Schizosaccharomyces pombe: one gene and its partners. Changing the gene in region 3 together with the main gene of any one other region gives a genetic interaction. Each region holds a gene or a part of one and is shown on either strand. Other genes may lie near its edges.

Region 1 (6,292 bases), on a different chromosome or scaffold from region 3:
TATGGTAGGTAAAATAGTTATACTTTCTTCAATGAAACACCTCAACTTACCGTTATAGGTATTCTCTATCTTGTTTTAACTACATACCCCACATTGTGGACCGAAGAGTATCATGAACGACCTTCCATCGCTGGCCTAAACTACATTGCTTCGGGGATAGGCCTTATCTTTGGCAGTCAAGCATCTGGTATATTTATTGATAAAACGTTTCGATACCTAAAACGTAGAAACAATGGAAAGATGGCACCTGAATTTCGAGTCCCCGTAATTTTATTGGGAACTTTTTTCTTTCCAGCTGGCTTGTTTATTTATGGTTGGACTGCGCAGTATCACACTCACTGGATTGGTCCAGATATTGGCGCAGCCATGTTTAATATAGGTTTGATGTTAGGCTGGCGTGGTATCCAAACTTATTTAATTGATTCTTTTATGATTTATGCAGCATCGTCGACAGCAGTTGCCTGTTGTGTTCGATCGATTGCTGCTTTTGCATTCCCTCTTTTTGGCCAGGACATGTATGATACCTTGGGATATGGATGGGGTAACTCTCTTTTGGCATTTATGTATGTTTTTTGATGGATCATCTCTCTTTTTATCAATTTTTACTAACAGTAGATAAAGTGTATTGGGATCCTCCATAATTACATGTTCTTTACTTTGGTTTGGTGGAAAACGGTTACGGGCATTATCTAGCATGGTCATTTTTAAAGACGATGTATAGGTAATCTTATTTATTTTACAGATATTTTGTAATAATACAATAATACAATTTAATAATGGTTGGAACACTATCAACTCTATTCAATAAAAAGTTAAAATAATGTCAAAAAAATTTGTATACGATTCAGTAAATACACATTTCTTCAAACGTTAAGCACTAAGCAAGAGAGCTATAATTTAATTTACAACGCAATGTGATACTTTTATATTGACTCAAAATGTTTGAAGCGTTTTTATTTTTTCGATGAATAAAAATAATACTCACATCTCGTTACTATGTACTACAAAGTTTTGTAAGAAAAGAGGCTTAATATTTATGGATGATGTTCGTTGTCACATAAAATTAGATTATTAAATTGAGCGTAAAGCTAAATAAGAAAAATGGTTTTATAAAAAAAAAAGTTGAAAAAGGGAAAAGGCAAAGCGAAAGGATGTCATATATGAAGTTTGCTCATTAGCTTAACAAATATACAAACCCGTGTATTAAAAAAAATATGGTGGTTCAAAAGACTTGATATGGTTTCCTTTGATTTAATCCCACTCTAAATTACGCTTCTTGAAAAATTCGAGTGTGGCATCTGGACCATGGTGGGAACCAAAAGCATAAGGAAGAGGTGACAAATCGCCTGTAGTGTCAAGGACATCATCAAAGATTTTCCAAGAGGTACGAACCTCATCATCACTAATAAAGTGTGTATGCTTTCCATTAATGGCATCGGCAATAACCACTTCATAGGCCTTATGGATCCATGTATCAGGGAAAGCTTCGGGATACTTAACGTCCAAAGTCACAGGAACAATTTGACGAGAGAAACCAGGTTGTTTAATGTGTCCCTTGAGGGCAATGAATTCCTTGGGATAAACACGAAGGACTAGAACATTGCTGCTATCAACGGTAGGGAACATACCTCCTTCCCTACGCTTAAAAGTGATACGAGCTTCAAAGTAATCGCGGTCCAAACCTTTACCGGCAGAAATGATGATGGGAATACCCTTCCAACGAGGTGCTTCAGAGCGAAGTTGAAGAGCACAGAATGTAGAAACTTCACTGTCATCAGCAACACCATCCAGTTCACGATAACCGGGGACCTTTCCATTTGCACTTTTAGTGTACTGTCCATAGACGATGTCCTCCTTGGAAACGGGATGAAGGGATTTCAAGAAGTCAACCTTGCATTTGATGATATCTTCGGCATCTTGAGACTTTGGCTCTTCGATGCAAAGTAAGGTAAGTAGTTGCAAAAGATGATTTTGAACGACATCGCGAAGGATACCAGCGCCCTCAAAATAACCTCCACGTCCCTCACAACCAAAGTCTTCACGAAAGTCGACACGAACACTTTCAATGTGTTCACGATTCCAGATGGGCTCGAACATGGAGTTTGCAAAGCGAATTGCAGTGAATCCATCAATCATATCCTCGCCAAGGAAATGGTCGACTTTGAAAGTATCCTTGGCAGACCAGTGCTTGCTGAGATCGCTGAGAATGGCATCGGCAGACTTGTAGTCGAAGCCGATGGGCTTCTCAACAATAAGACGAGTGACCATACCATTGGGATGAGCCTTACTCTTGATTAGCTCGGAAACGGGAGCAAAGAGATGAGGAGGCAGAACCAAGTAAAAGATACGTGTGCATTCGGAGGCGGGAGCAGTCTCCTTTTCAGCAATAATGCTGTTTAGCATCTCAAAAGACTCGGGCTTATCATAAGTACCGGGGACATACTTGTAATGCTCGACAAAGGTGTTTAAGGCCTTTTGAGAAGCACCGACAGTATCGTCAATGGGAATATGGGCGGTGACGATTTTGTTAGCGGCCTCTTGGGACAATTTGGAACGGGCATAGCCGATGATTTGAAAGTCCTCGGGAATAATTTTGCGGACGTAAAGGGCAAACAAGGCCGGGAAAGTCATTTTGGTAGCGAGATCGCCGGATGCACCGAAAACAATGATGGATAGCATTTTTGTTTAAAAAAGTTGGAAAGAAAGTGGAAAAAAAGTGTCTGAGACAAAAGGCGAGATTAGTAGTGAAAGTAAGATTGAAAATATTTTTTCTTTTGGGTGAAAGAAAAAAAAATTAAACAAATGAAATGATTTAAAGGAAATCCAATGAGATTTTTTCAAAAGGTCAATTTGCGATGATAGTTTAAATTCGAAGGAAATTGTCTTGTTATCTACGAGATAGATATACTAAATTGTGTTAGAAAAGAGCAAAGATAAAAGACAGAAAGAAAGAGAAAAGAAGAAAAGGAGAGAACAGGAGGGGGAGGAGAGGAGAAAAAGGTGATATTTCAGGTAATTATTATTGACAATTGAGTTGAATATCCTTTGATGATTCACTTTGCGTCTACCCTTAACTAGCACCATTACTCACTACCCACTACTCACTGCCCTGCCTTACCCTGCCCTTTTTTCAAAAATCCCCGGCCCAACAATAAGCGAAACGAAAAAATTCGCCAACCACCTACCTAAACTCCACACGACGAATCAAAAGCGAGTATGTTTTACAAACCAAGGTTGCTGGGGGTTCAGAAGAGGGACCATACTCTTGTATATATACAACTTGAAGCAATGCTCGTGACATCAGACACGATTGGAAAGACCTTAATGCATCTATCAACCTAACGTCTCCGCAAACATGGGACAAGGTGTAAACAAAACAAACCCAAGCCAAACTTCCTTTTAAGATGCGGGACTGCCCGGGGTGAGGCGGGGCGACAAGCTCTCGAACGTGTGGCCCAGGTATGACAAGGTGTGTGAGCAAACTTTAGACTTTAGTATTTAAGCTTTGCTGGTTACCACGCCCACAATTCCTACCGCTTCCAATGATGTGCATTGCACGATGCATGAAATGCTCTTTTACACTTTCGGCTCTACTACGTCAATGTAGCAGTAGCCTAGCCAACTGGGCAACTGAGAGTAAGGACCTTAGTGGCTAGTCAGACAGACCCCGGACCAAGGAGAGGGGAACCGAAACGCAGGTGCCAATGAATATGAGAGTTCGACGAAAAGGGGGTTACTCGGGTAATGCAAATCTTCAAAACATTCGATCATCCATCAATCAGCACTGAAGATTTTCCTCGCATAAGGTTTATGGGAAACGAGTAAAGTTTGAAGGGGGGAAGCGGGGGATCTCGGAAAAAGTAGGAATTAGAGTAGAAGCATGGCAGAGCAAGGCAGGCGGGCGCACAGCGTAGCGTTAAAAAAATAGCGCAGTAGGACCAAAGCACGTTACAGTTACGCTTGTTATAATTTACACAAGGAGGGATTTGCTGTGATATACTTTATTACACACTGATATAGGCAACATAAAACCATGTACATTAAAACTTGGGTAGTGTAAGAGATACAAAGGACTTTAATAAATTTACACTTCCATTTCGCATCTCTGTCATTGCACATCTAAGCCCGTTCTCAGAACCTGGAAATGCATTCCTCATATTCTTCCTACTAGATCCATTCTTTTTCTCAGTCTCCTTACCTTACGTATGCTTCTGGACATGTCTGGCAGAGGAATTTTGCCTTTGTATGAAGAGGGGGAGAGATCTCGGCAATAAGGAGATGGAGCATACCTCGTTAAAGGAAAATTAGGGCTTCGTTGTGGCTTCCCAAATGGTTGTCTTAGCAAAAGGAAAAAAAGGTCAGCTAGGGTAGAAGCCGAAGGGCACAAAGTTGGGGCAGGAAATCTAGAAGTTTGGAGTAAAAGGCGTTGTTTTGCTTATTAGCCAAAATTTACGAAATTGGAAATTAACAGAGCCTTCTTTTTTAACGTACGTTTTGCATATCCCTAAGTCAGTCTAGTAAAAGCATGTATTTACTGTTTTGCATGGCGTTCCTCTTCCATCCTCTTTTTTCTCTACTAAGCTTTTTCTCTTATCTCCCCTATTCCATCATAACGATAGTATTCGTATGTTAATGAGTTCGGTACATTTCGTTCGAGATGCGGTAACTGTACTGAAATGGACAGAGGAGCTAAAACAGTCTATGTACGTGAAATTTGTAAAGATAAATTTAGGCTTACAATTTTTGATATTGATGCAAATTATTCATTCCTGTCACCATGTTGTTTTCTTCCATGGGTTGTGAAGAAAACCCCTCCCTTGAATTCTTGGTCAAACACTTAGTGATCTCCTACTACTTTCCCCTAGTACCGCGGGGATATGGAATTTGGTGGTTGCTAAATACTGAAATGCATAATATTAAATAGTACGACGCCGGACGTACTCCTGATAACGAAGCGACACTTGCACGCACTATTCAGTTTCAAAAGTCGCAGTAAACGTCTATACTGATAAATGATGGGTTTGTTTCTCAAAAACGTTTAAGGAAAGCTAAGTTGGGGTGAATAAAAAAGGCAGTGACAGAATAAATGTGTCAGAAGCAATTCACTGCCTCGTTCAGTTTTTTCGTTCTTCTTTTTTTATGCCATTGTTTGAAGGAATTAGTTGGAAATTTGTTTGAACGATTTTATTATTTTGTTAAAAAGTCTTTAAAGCGATTGGAATTGGACTACAAAGTGAATATTCTTGATTTCGCTGTTTGGTTTGTCGCAATCATAGCAATTAATTCGCGCATGTATTTTATTAAATAAAGAATGATTTTATTATTATGAAGAATAATTACACTTCTTTGAAAAGTCCTCTAGATGAAGAAGATGAATTGAAGACAGATCATGAAATCGATTTGGAAAAAGGACCCCTCCCAGAATATGATTCAGAGGAGGAAAGTACATTGCCTCCATATTCAGGTAAGAATTGTAAATAATAAGAAAGGAATTACTCAATGGAAAGTTGAAACTTGCCATCTTGTCAAATTGCATGCTTTGGTCATTGTTTACAGTCGGCCATGCAATGCACACAATTTGATACATGCTCTTTCTTTACTAAAGTATTTCATTATATTAATTTAAACAGATCATGCACTTGTAAATAATCCTCCTAACACACATAGAGAAAACCATTCTTATGGGACGACAGATAATTCTTCCCCTTTGTTGATAATACTGCTAATATCATTCACTTCAATCATTCTATTCAATGCTCCAGAAGTTTGTTATCTAAAGTATAAGGACGCTTTTTTTAAAAATTATGGTGCAGCGGAATGGACATTATTTGGATTTTGGTGTCTTGTTTGCACTTTGGCTTTAATATTCTTGACTTGTAAGTGAGACAATGGGGTTATTCTTACCTTCAGTCACTAATTCATTAGACTTCTATGAAACTTGGACCAAGGCAGTTAAAGTAACTGTAATTTCCTTGGCGAAATGTGTAAAGGTGACTGCAATTTTCTTGGCACAATGTGTCAAGGCTTGCGGAAAAGGAATCAAGCACTTTTTAAAGAAGTGGGAAAACATGCCTATGGCTTTCAGTGAAGTCTTTTTATTTAACATACTTGTCGGATCACCAAGAATGAATTTAAGATACATTTTTGGCGACAGATGGGGATTGAAATGTTCTTTGGCTGATCACATTATCTTTGTTGTATTGAGCATCCTTGTTTTTATTGCTGAAACAGGTTTGTTGTTGACTAAACACTTATTTATATTAACAATACAGTAAAACCTGGATCAATCAGG
Region 2 (6,738 bases), 1.9 Mb from region 3:
ACCCTACAAGGCTTTCGATGCTTGGTTTGGGTGACATTGTCATGCCTGGATTGATGCTTGCGTTAATGTATCGATTCGATCTTCACTACTATATTAATTCTACCTCCCAGCCTAAGAAGCACTCGACATATTTTCGGAATACCTTTATAGCTTATGGGCTTGGCCTTGGAGTTACAAATTTTGCATTATATTACTTTAAAGCAGCACAGCCAGCTTTGCTTTATCTCAGTCCTGCCTGTATTGTCGCTCCATTACTAACTGCTTGGTATCGTGACGAATTGAAAACACTCTTCTCCTTTCGTAGTGAAACAGAAGATGAAACTGACGAACAAGATAAATGTAAAAGTACTTAAAATTGGTCCTTGATTTAGAATTTCAACATTCGTTTGTTAAAACCCATTCCTTACTTCACGCTCATCCGTTATTCGCCATACCGTATTTCCATAGTTTGCCATGTATATACGTTATACATATACCATGATATTCCACTTACCTCAATTCAATTTTTTACAAGAAATTTGCAAAAACCTTTATTTTGAAAGTTTATTTTAGAATAAAAAGTATTTGATTACAAAATTTAAATTACTCCAAATCACTACTAAAGAGTTGAGCATAGTGCATTTATACCACTTTGTTCCTTCGGCAATTATTTGACTCTGGTGTCTAAAATTTGAAATAATAAATAATTTTGATTATTAGTGAATTTCAGCTGTGTTTCTCCTAAAATGTTTGGTCTGACCACGAAAAGAATATTGACACTGTTTACCAAAAAGCGACAGACGCTAGTTGAGCAAAAATTAACAGAGTATATGATTGCAGGTGAAAAAACGGATAATCAAATGCTTCATTTTAAATTACAGGTCGAAACAGCTACCCCAACCCTTGACCAATTGAATATCATGCTCTCTAACATTGGTAAAGATAAAAGTGATTTACTTGTCGCAGGTGCTACGTCTATTGAAGATGCTTTGACAAAGTACCAGCATGATAATCAATTGTTTCGACGACCTTGCCTTGTGGATTGGGATAAGGGAAAAGTTAGTCCATATTCCATCCTTCTCCAAACTCGCGACTTTTCTAAACTTTTATAAAAATATCTCTTATTCCAACGACCGATTTTTACGTATCATTTTAGTTTATGAGCATCCTTTCAACTGATGTTGAAATGCGATGCATTTCAAGTTACGAATAATAAAAAATTTTGTTATTATTATATCTGCATATTCAATAGTTACTGTAATAGGATTCATCAGAAATTCCTTTTTATCCACTTAATATGTCGTTCGTTGCCAGATCTTTCGAATGGACTTAATTGATTGATATCTTGAGTTCGCTAGTAAACACATATTTGTACGATAGAAAACTTTTTAAGGGTAATAAATTAGCTAACAATGAAAGAACATTTCGGAAGTAGAAAGCTCAAAATAGATTCTTCGAATCATAATAAAATGAGACTTTAAGCATATGTTAAAGCTAGGTAGGTTAAACGGAAATGAGAAACGTGACACGCAAACTGTAATCAAAAAAATTATTTTAAACTAAACTCTAGTAAACGCGCGATAACAAAACGTAAAAGAAAAGGAACGGAAGGTAATGCTATATATTCTTTAAGGGTGCGGGCAGCCAACTGCTATGTGGTTTTATTCAATAAATTTTTATATATCATGAAATTAATATCGTCAGAAGTTGTAGTAGTCGCAATAAATGGCTTTCAAGTAACGGCTAATAATTGCTATCAGACAGGTTAAAATTGGCTACAAACCATGAATGCGTTGATGTCGCCGCATATTACTGCGTACATTGAACGCCTTTCCACATCCAGCGTAATCGCAGACAAACGGCCTTTCTCCTGTATGGGAATATGTATGAATTTTTAGACTAGAAGGCCTAGAAAATCCTTGTAAACATTCCGTACATCTATATCGAACGTTGGCAGCGGAAGAGGTAGACGAAGAACCGGTATGGGATTGTGCAATTTTGCGTGAAGTTGAATGTCGCCGCGATACATGAGCTCTCTTATCGTTGTTGTGATGATCAGAATAATTTGAATCAGATTGCTGACCCATTGGATGAGCCTGCGCGCTGTTGCTAGCCAAAGTAGCAACAACACTAAGTTCCGCGCTCATGTTATCCTTGAAATTTAAAGAAGGAATATATGGATTTCTGGATAAAGTGTGATTGTTTTCAGCGTCATTAGGAAGCGGAACCGAGACTGGATAAGAGGTGTTTGCCGGGCCTTGAGAATCATTTGATTGCGAGGTTGAGCTTTCGGAAGCGTTTTCGGCTTGATTACCATTTGCATGATTTAAAGTATTACTTGCAGGAGGAGCAACCGATGAAAGACGTGATTCATCGACTGTGGGATGATTTTGAAGATCTCGGGAGCTGGGTTGATACTGTGCAAATTCTGTATTATGCGGAACAGGGATGTGCTGGGGCAGTGCACCCTGAGCACATCCAGGACATACAATTGGATAAAATGGCTGTTGAAAAGGAAGTACTATGGGAGCGGCAGGAATAGGAGCAGATGTAACTTCTTGATTATTAGAAGACGGAGGATTTGCGCCTGAGGTATTGTTCTTGGAACTAGGCTGCTCTGCAGCTTCAGAAGATTGCCTTTGATTAGCAAGCGCCAGTTCGTTAGCCTTTGCAACAAAATATGCATAGGAAAGAGGGGAGTAACCAGACAAAAATCCAGCAGGAACAGCAGCCGGATTAGAGTTTCCATTACTAGTGTTAGAAGCATCAGTCGCCGAGCCTGTAGTCGCGTGAGCATAATGCGGGACGGCAGCAGCTGCTGCTGCTGCCAAGAAAGTCGGGTCGGCGAATGTCCCACCTAAAATAGTAGAAATGGGAGGAAGTCTAAGTCGAGCGCTTGATGCTGCCAAGAGGTTTGGAGGCATATGAGGATGGCCGTGAACAGTAGTACAACAACAAAGTGCGTTGTTTGTAGAAGGAGAAAACTCTAACTGACCGGCAGCATTCAGGATAGCAGGCATGCTTGCGGCTGATGTGACATTGTTCTCCAAATTTTGATTAGAATTTGAAGTAGTCGGGGTGTTAGTATTACCTGCAGGAGGAACTGGTGCCGGTGTTGGACGAGATACATTTGCAGATTCCGAAACAGTAGCAGCTTGAGGATCGAAAGCTTTTTGAGCTACTTGTGGAACATCTACCGAGCCATGAAAAGCAGGATTCTGCACATGTGGGTATGGACAAGCAGGAAACATGTTATATACTATTCCAGAAGTAGTGGGAAGAGAAGATTGAGGAGGGTTCTCGTTATTACGTCTATTGATTGAAGGAGTGTTATCTGAGCTCATCACTTTTAAAAACAGCAAAAGCCTAAAGAAATGAAAAAATTGAACTGAACCAAAGTAAGTCAGATCGTTCTATTCGGAGTAGCAAAGAAGCGTCACTGGATAGAAAGTGAGTTATAATGAGACTCGGTTAAATATATTTAATTTCTGTCGTGAGATTGAACACGATATTACGAGAAAGTCCTCTATATTTGAGGGGTGAAAGTGTCCGATATTTGATTGACACAGAATTGCTATCCTACGAAGTAAAAGAATATCTCAGTTTAGCCAAAGCAAGAACAATTAAAAGAGGCAATGCAAGAGACAAAAGAATAACGGGATCCAAGGATGATCAATGTAAGAATAAAAAAGCAATTGATCGACTGATTAACCCTACAGTAAATTTTTTTTTGGGGGTTTTTTTTATAATAAATAGCGGAAATGAGTGAGCGGAACAAACAAACAAAGCAAAGAAAAAACAAAAACTTCCTACAACCTTTACGAAGAGGAAGGAAAGAGTGAAAAAACTAGAAAAACCAACTCAAAGGCGCTCTAGGACAAAAAAAATATGGTCAATCGTTTCCACGTGACCAAATTCCAACGAACCAAGAAACACAAATAAAAAAACTAGGAGAATACAGAAAAATTAAAATGAGATGCAGCAACAAAGGGAACGAAAAGTAATTTGTTTGCTCTCCACAAGCCGACAATTTTTACAGCACTCTCTTTCCTCGAAGATAAATCCAATAAACCGCTACCTTCCAAAATACCAGAACGTGAAAAAGGCAGGAAACAAAGAAAATTAAGATATCCGTATGCCAAACGAGTGGACTCGAAAGGGCAAACAGGATAAACCAAGAGAACCAAGCTACAATTCAGTTGTTGGTCAAATGATGCTGCCAGAGAAAGGATAACACGAAAATATAAGAAAATATTACAAATAATTGGGAAAATACCACTGGAAACTTGGTGGATTCCTTGATTTGCAATTTACCTAGTGGTGTTGTTGTTATACAGTAGGAGTGGTAAACGGGGAAATCCGGTAAATATCTTTATATAAACGTGAGAGATGGCAAAGCTTTTTTAACGGTGATCGGCGTAATGTTACCTAAAACTTTGTTGGTAATCTCAATACGGGGCGAGTAACAATTTTCTCCAGATAACGAATTACAGCTTTGCCGGCCGACCCCGCTTTAGCTAAAATTTTTTTAGGGGAACTAATATAGACTCAATGGAAGGAGCAAATCGACAGAAACAATATAGTCTGTAATGTAAAGAAGTCTACGAAAAAACCAGCAAGACCTTGATGTTCTTTACTTTCTGGATTCGATGTGGTGGAATACGTCAAACGATCGGAATTTGTATTTTGGGACCCCTTTGACCCATTTACCCATTCCCATATGATCGACGAATGATCTGCGTTGAAGTAACAGGATTACTATATCAGATATCTCGATGGAAAAATGCATTAACCGTTATAAGGATATATTGCCGTTAAACCGCTATAGCGACGGTAGTGGCAAATGCTGGGGATTACTGGGCTGTGAAATATCGAGTGTAGTAGGACAGACTGGAGTAAAGAGATTATTATTGGGATCAATTACTAAGTTTGTATACTGTTCTATGAGGTTATTTTCATTGTATACTATTGTACAATATTTTAAGTCATTGCGTTGTCTACGAAATGGGCGGACAGAAGTGCGCCTGTATACACATTACAAGAGACATCTTCCCCGTTCAGTGAATTCCATCTATTTACAAACAAATTGTTGAACGATTATTCACAATTTAGAAATGGCCGATCGGCCCAACAGCGATTCCGAGCCCGGTGTTTTCAAGTGCCATGCTTCATTTTTCTGCATGGGAGTATATCGCTGTGTAAGAATCCATCACAATAGCAAATGGACATGCGATCCAACGACGATGGGGCGGCAGTGTATTGATCACACATCGCCAGAAAAACTCATCTCTCGCTAACGTAAGCAGATAAAACAATGTCCTCAATTCACTAATGACTATTCTTTAGCGAGAGTTGCGCTAGATTGCCTAACACTTGGCGTACAATAGGCGGATTACCAATGGATATCCCATCGTATGGCCAACATTGGGCTCACAATTCAATTTAAAGGATCGTAAGGAATTGCAACATAGTACAGGAATAAGCAACGTACTTGAAGCTATCGTACAGTATCACCCGTATAACAAATGCTACTGAACGATCGATCAGCGAGGCAAGAAAGTGGATTGAAAACTTGACTTGAAATCGATGAAAAGGCTTATTCAAAATAAAAAAATTTTTTTTACGATTTACATATGAGTCAAACGCATATCAAGTACTTACTTCCGTCTTTTCGTTAACATTGCATACTTCTTGGGTTAGCTCCTATATTAACGCATTGTTTACCAATCTCAGTACCAGTTTGTTAATCCATGTTAAATCCTTTCATTATAATTAATACCTATTTTCCAGCTCAAGGTCCATTCTTTATTTTATTTTATTTTATTTATTTTATTTTTATTTTACTATTATTATTATTATTTTTAATTTTACGAAATTCATATAAAAACTTTATGCACTCTTGTAAATTCACAATTCCGATTAATTCACATTTAAGTTCGATTAATTCGCAATTCATGTATAGTTAGGCATATTGCAGGCATATACCATATACACAAAGAACCAAAAAGTCGCTGTAAAAGTCCACTGCTGGATAATCCTTCTTGCAACTGTCAGTCACATAACGGTGTGTCACTTTGGGTGGATAAGGATTACAGTATAGAGAGGGGGCGATCATTAGTCAGTAAATGTATTTTTACATCCATGAATGGACCCTTGAAACGGGATTTGCATTGTCTTCTGTCAAGTGATACCGCATATCACGTGCAATGAAATCCATGATCTATATTTCGGCATTTGTTTTCTCAGCTGGCAATCGCAGCCTGCCAGTATTACGAGTTGAGTAGGGGTTTCCATGATTCCCTACGTAGAGAGAGAGTATCGCACATATACATTAAGGTAATAATTTGTATGAAATGAGTCGAGTTGTCGAAACCAAATTACAAATAGAAATTTAATGGTCAGATATCTAATATCTAATTGATTACATGTATTGTTTGTTAATTCATTTTAATATAAGCAATTAAAAAATTAACGCTTTGAATTTTTGCTAAGAATATATTGTTTTTGGTATTCGGATTTGTAGGATTACATTAAAAGTGTCAGCTAGCTATATTGTCCCAACACAACAAGACAGCAAAAATATTTTGCTTTTTACTCTTCTCTTTTCTATTATTTCTTTAATTTTTTCAATTTATTATAAAATATTAATTATTTTTCATACACATCAACTTCAAAATTCGCATATGTAATCGAAAACGTACCAAAAGCTGATTATCTGTTACAGTTACTATACCATGGCTTGCCTTCTGGTCTAGTCCA
Region 3 (4,771 bases):
GCAAAAACAAATATCATTTAAAAGATGTTATTATTGGGAAAATCTACTTTATCCTTGTACGCATCAAGGTTCAGCGGATGGAAGTCAGTATCATACGGCGTGAAACGATCGGGACATCACCAAACCAGTACAGTAACAGTGAAACGATTACCAGATTTCAAATTATGGATGGTAATCCTAATCGTGGGGAAACAATTCCTTTACGGATGTTTTTGAATGGCTACGCTTTAACACCAACATTTCGAGACGTTAATAAAAAATTTAGTGTGAGATATTATTTGAGTCTAATTTTGGTGGATGAGGATCAAAGGAGATATTTTAAACAATCTGAAATAACCTTATGGAGAAGAAGGGATGAGCATGAGTGATGAATAACATCCTCATTATTCGTTCATGATGTGAGTTTTAATGATAATACATTCTTTCTTTTATTTTTTTATTTCTGGTCGATATACGTACTATAAGAAGTTGGAGTTCTATAATTCTCAGAAAATAAGCATTAGAAAAGCATAGTAAGTTTAAAGAGAGCAAAAAGTTACGTTTAATAAACAGAGCTGATTTTTGGTTTGCCTATTTTTCAGTGATACATTGCAGCAGAAACGACAGAAAAGAAGGTAAATGCCTTGAATATTGCTAGTTAAAACAGAAAGCCGGGCTAACTATAAAGTAAAATAAAAAAATGAAGAAAAAGCCGACAACATTTCGTTTCAAGGAACTTTCTGAATTTTTTTTTAATAACAAAAGACTACAAAAACGTATCAAGTAGTAACAATAAACAAACAGAGACACGTGAGCTGAGCGTGCAAATATTTTAGAAGCAGAAGACTCATTAAGGTTGCTTGTTTTCATTAACCATTTTGTGGACGATATCAAGACATTCTTCTTCTGACTGTTCTTTTCCATTCTCAACGCTAATGGTAATAACATCCTTTTCATCAGCGGTAGGAGCCTCAAGGATTGCCAATTGACTTTCAACCATGTCAGCCTTCATGTAATGATTTTTGCGACTAGTCGTTCTTTTAATAAGTGTTTCTCTCGAAGCGGCTAAATAAATAAAGCGCAAAATTGCAGGACGATGCTCCAAAGAGCTACGAAGGATATCACGGTAACTACGCTTTAAGGCCGAGCAGGTTAACACAACTCCCTTTATCGATTCCTTGTCAAGTTCCATGGCACAAGCACCTCCGCAGTTATGCAACCAACCCCAACGATCGTTATCATTCAAAGGATGGCCTTGACTCATTTTTTCAATGTTTGCTTTGGGGTGTAGATCATCACCCTCAATATACTCAAAACCCAATTTCTCAGATACCGCCTTAGCCATCGTCGTTTTTCCTGAACCGGCAGGGCCGATGACTACAAATACATATTTGTATGGCTGATTAGTAGGATTAATGGGAGTAACAGTCATAGTTATCGAATTATTTGTGAGGATTTCAAAGTTTGGGTACAATCACAAAATCACACGTTGGTGGTAATCGAACGAGATGTTTTAAACAAGCTTTGTCAAAATGGCGCTAAAAGGCTCCTTTCTCGGACAAAGCGATGCAAATTTACTGGAAAACAGCCAACTTTTCAAAGGTACTATAGTTTGTGGTAAGCGGCAAGAAATACCGAAAAAATGCAGACACTTACGACTTGGTTAAACACAGCCAAGAAAAGTTAATACACACTAGATGTTATTAAAAACAAACAAATACCCGGGGGCTTCTCGTCCCTTTAATACAAATTTTGTAGCTGTAGAAAGGAACTTTAAATTAGGCCGACAGCCTTAAAACTAAGTTGGATTGACGTTTAGAAATCGGGGTATAGAGGGGCTCTAGAACTAATGAGATTGAAGCAACGTATACCCCATCTCTTCAGTAACCCAAGATGCCAATATGACAAAAGAAGAACCGGGGCATGTTATTTCGGTTTATTAAATTAAAATAACGTGCTGAAAGAATACACTGTAATGAATAGTGAATAGCAACGATTCCACTGAAACATTTTTATACTAAATACACAGCTACAATATAGTCTATGGTGAGTAATGAATATGAGAGTGCTGGGAGGTACGGTATATAAGGAAGGTTGGAAAAAGTATAGAAATGAGTGCTGTTTTGTTGCTCAAGAGATGAAGATGCGTTTGTTTCCTTTTCATTTTGGAGTACCTTTTTGATTCTGTGGACCAACGCTTTGTTATGTTGAATGTCGAAGTGTTTCACTTAGAAAAAGAAACTACCTTTGTGGTTACAAGAAACAAACAAACTGCTTTTAACGCCTTTATTCTATGCTATTAAAAATTGAGTAAACCGTCTTTTTACTACTCATTTGTCTGTTGTACAATATTACGTACCCGATATTTACTCAGTACTTGAATGCGTCTGTTTGACGCAATGCCTCCTTACCTAACTTACCAAGCACCATTATCTTTGATCATTTTTCACAAAATGGTATTTGCAATTAGAATACGCCAGTTTCACACTACTCTCGTTTCTGCCGAAAAGAATGGATTACAGAAGTTGATCCCCCCTAGGCTGAAAACCATTTGGAATCAAATGTTGGTTGAAACAAAAGGTGCTGGTAATGGTCCTGAGCGCTTTGAGATGATTCGTCAAAAATACAAAGCTTTGACTGCCGATGAGATCCAAAAGTATAAAAACAAACTCCAGGAGCAGTTCGATGCTGAGAAAAAGCGTTTTATGGAGACTCTACGATCCTTTACACCTACAGAAATCGATAGTGAAAATCGTCGTCGCTCGAAGGAGGCTCACAGCACGGGCAGTCGCTATTACAGACTTCGTCATCCAGATGTTCCTAAAAAACCTTCTTCTGCTTTTATCCTCTTTTACAAGGAGCTTCGAAACAATCCCAAGCTACGTCAAGAGTTAGGTATTCCAGAAGCCATTTCCACACTCGTTGAAGAGACCCAAAATGCATCAAAGGCGTGGAAGGAATTGGCGGAAGACAAGAAAAAGCCATTTATTGATAAAAGCAAAGCACTTAAAGAGCAATACGATAAGTTTATGAAAGAAGCCGGATTTCGATGATGCACACTCTACTTGCCCAGATCTTTTTTTTCTATAGATTTCTTGAATCAATGAGTTTACGTTTTATTTTACTAGCATACATGCTTGAAATATAATAAATTTCGATGCCTACACTAAGTTTTCTTTCTGTCGTAGATTCCGCATTGACGAAAGCTTTATTGTCCCAAAGCTTTTTCCTTATGAGTGTTGCGCTTATTTGTAGTTTCTATTAATTTTAAATTGTATTTTGCATATAATAGTGCTTAATACTATGATTGCTTGATACCTTGAAATATCTAGTTAAGAGGATAGCATTAAGCGGGTAATAATTTTACACAAAGCTTGTTGGACTAATGAGCCAAATTGATCCATCCCCTTTTTTAACGTATAAGTACGTCTTTAGAAGCCTGTGTCCTGCGCATAAAAAATCTGAAAAGTAATTGTCAATTAAAAAATTTTCTCAAAAGTCAATTTTCTTTTTGTGAAACAAAGTACATAAAATTTCAAAAATGAATATCACAATTTGCACGCCCAATAAAAAAAATTATAAAGTTGGCATTGTTTGCACATTCCCCAGATAAAAATGAAATTAAGGATTTCAGTTTAGGCTGAGGCAGGAGGAAGAATTTCACCACGGTTGACAAGCAAAGCCTCCAAGACAGCAACAGTGGTCCATTTGCGGTTCTCTGCTTCTTGGAAAACTAAACTGTTCTCTCCATAAAATACCTCGTCAGACACTTCCTCGGGATGACGGGGTAAACAATGCATGAATTTGCAGCTAGGTTTGGCAAGCTTCATGATCTCTCCGGTGACTTGGAATCCTGTAAATTGTTTAAGACGTTGTTCCTTCTCAGCTTCTTGACCCATAGAAATCCAAGTGTCGGTAACGACGATATCAGCATTTTTAACAGCAACCTTGGGGTCGTTAACAATTTCAAAAGTAGAACCGTTTTCGTTCGCAGCTTCGTTAACGATTGATAAAATATCGTCGCGAACGTTGACGTCCTTGGGCTTAGCAACGCTAGTATGAATACCAACCTTGGCATTTGCAATCATCAAATCATGTAAAACGTTATTGGCATCACCTACCCATGCAACTTTTAAACCGTCAAAGCTTTTGAAAGTTTCCTTAATAGTGAGTAAATCTGCTAACGCCTGGAGAGGATGAAACGTGTCACAAAGACCATTAATAACAGGACAAGAGGCATGTTTAGCGAGCGTAGCAACATCTGAATATTTGTTTACGCGAGCAACAATACCAGAAACCATACTTGATATAACTTTTGAAGTATCGTATAAAGACTCATTCACTCCTAATTGGATATCATCTTTACCTAAAAACATGGCATTGCCGCCAAGGCAACTGACAGCACTTTCGACTGATACACGAGTACGAGTGCTACGCTTACTGAAGATCATGGCGACATTCTGAGACGACAAACCACTCATTTGAACAGAACGGCGATTCTGAAAATTCTGCTTATAAGCTTGTTTAATTTCAGAAGACCGATCGATCAACTTTACAATCTCTCCGCGACTAAGATCACGAATGGATAGTAAATGACGAGGAAATTTTTTGAAAGACATTTTCAATTGCAAACTGAATAATTCTTCTCGACTAAATATATCAAAAATACGGTTTTTGTAGTCGACTACAAGGAACCCACAAGTTACTGGTAATTTCTTAGATATTCAGGGTGAGATTGCATATAGCCGATATCTAGTTCTCTCTCAGACTGCGAGATTGGCGCCGTAATATA

Evidence for each region.
Region 1: of idn1 (region 3) and gcd1, changing one suppresses a phenotype caused by changing the other (phenotypic suppression), as found in Schizosaccharomyces pombe (one study listed by BioGRID).
Region 2: of idn1 (region 3) and loz1, changing one enhances a phenotype caused by changing the other (phenotypic enhancement), as found in Schizosaccharomyces pombe (one study listed by BioGRID).

What each region holds. Positions count from the first base shown.
Region 1 is NC_003421.2:238,530-244,821, forward strand, and holds gcd1 (glucose-6-phosphate 1-dehydrogenase), read right to left. Parts: upstream 3,240-6,292; 5' UTR 3,186-3,239; intron 2,908-3,185; 5' UTR 2,680-2,907; coding exon 1,252-2,679; 3' UTR 934-1,251; downstream 1-933. Other genes in the region: SPOM_SPCC1529.01 (transporter), read left to right, coding at 1-4, 59-563, 622-721; wtf antidote-like meiotic drive suppressor Wtf5, read left to right, coding at 5,326-5,464, 5,631-5,876, 5,926-6,231, 6,273-6,292.
Region 2 is NC_003424.3:4,190,888-4,197,625, forward strand, and holds loz1 (zf-C2H2 type transcription factor), read right to left. Parts: upstream 4,327-6,738; 5' UTR 3,324-4,326; coding exon 1,755-3,323; 3' UTR 1,183-1,754; downstream 1-1,182. Other genes in the region: intramembrane aspartyl protease of the perinuclear ER membrane Ypf1, read left to right, coding at 1-353; SPOM_SPAC25B8.18 (electron carrier protein), read left to right, coding at 726-1,091; SPOM_SPAC683.03 (uncharacterized protein), read left to right, coding at 4,755-5,072.
Region 3 is NC_003424.3:2,273,839-2,278,609, reverse strand, and holds idn1 (gluconokinase), read right to left. Parts: upstream 1,741-4,771; 5' UTR 1,636-1,740; exon of another isoform or gene 1,585-1,635; 5' UTR 1,412-1,584; coding exon 830-1,411; 3' UTR 501-829; downstream 1-500. Other genes in the region: retromer complex arrestin related endocytic adaptor ubunit Vps26, read left to right, coding at 1-368; cmb1 (cytosine-mismatch-binding protein 1), read left to right, coding at 2,433-3,032; ornithine carbamoyltransferase Arg3, read right to left, coding at 3,615-4,598.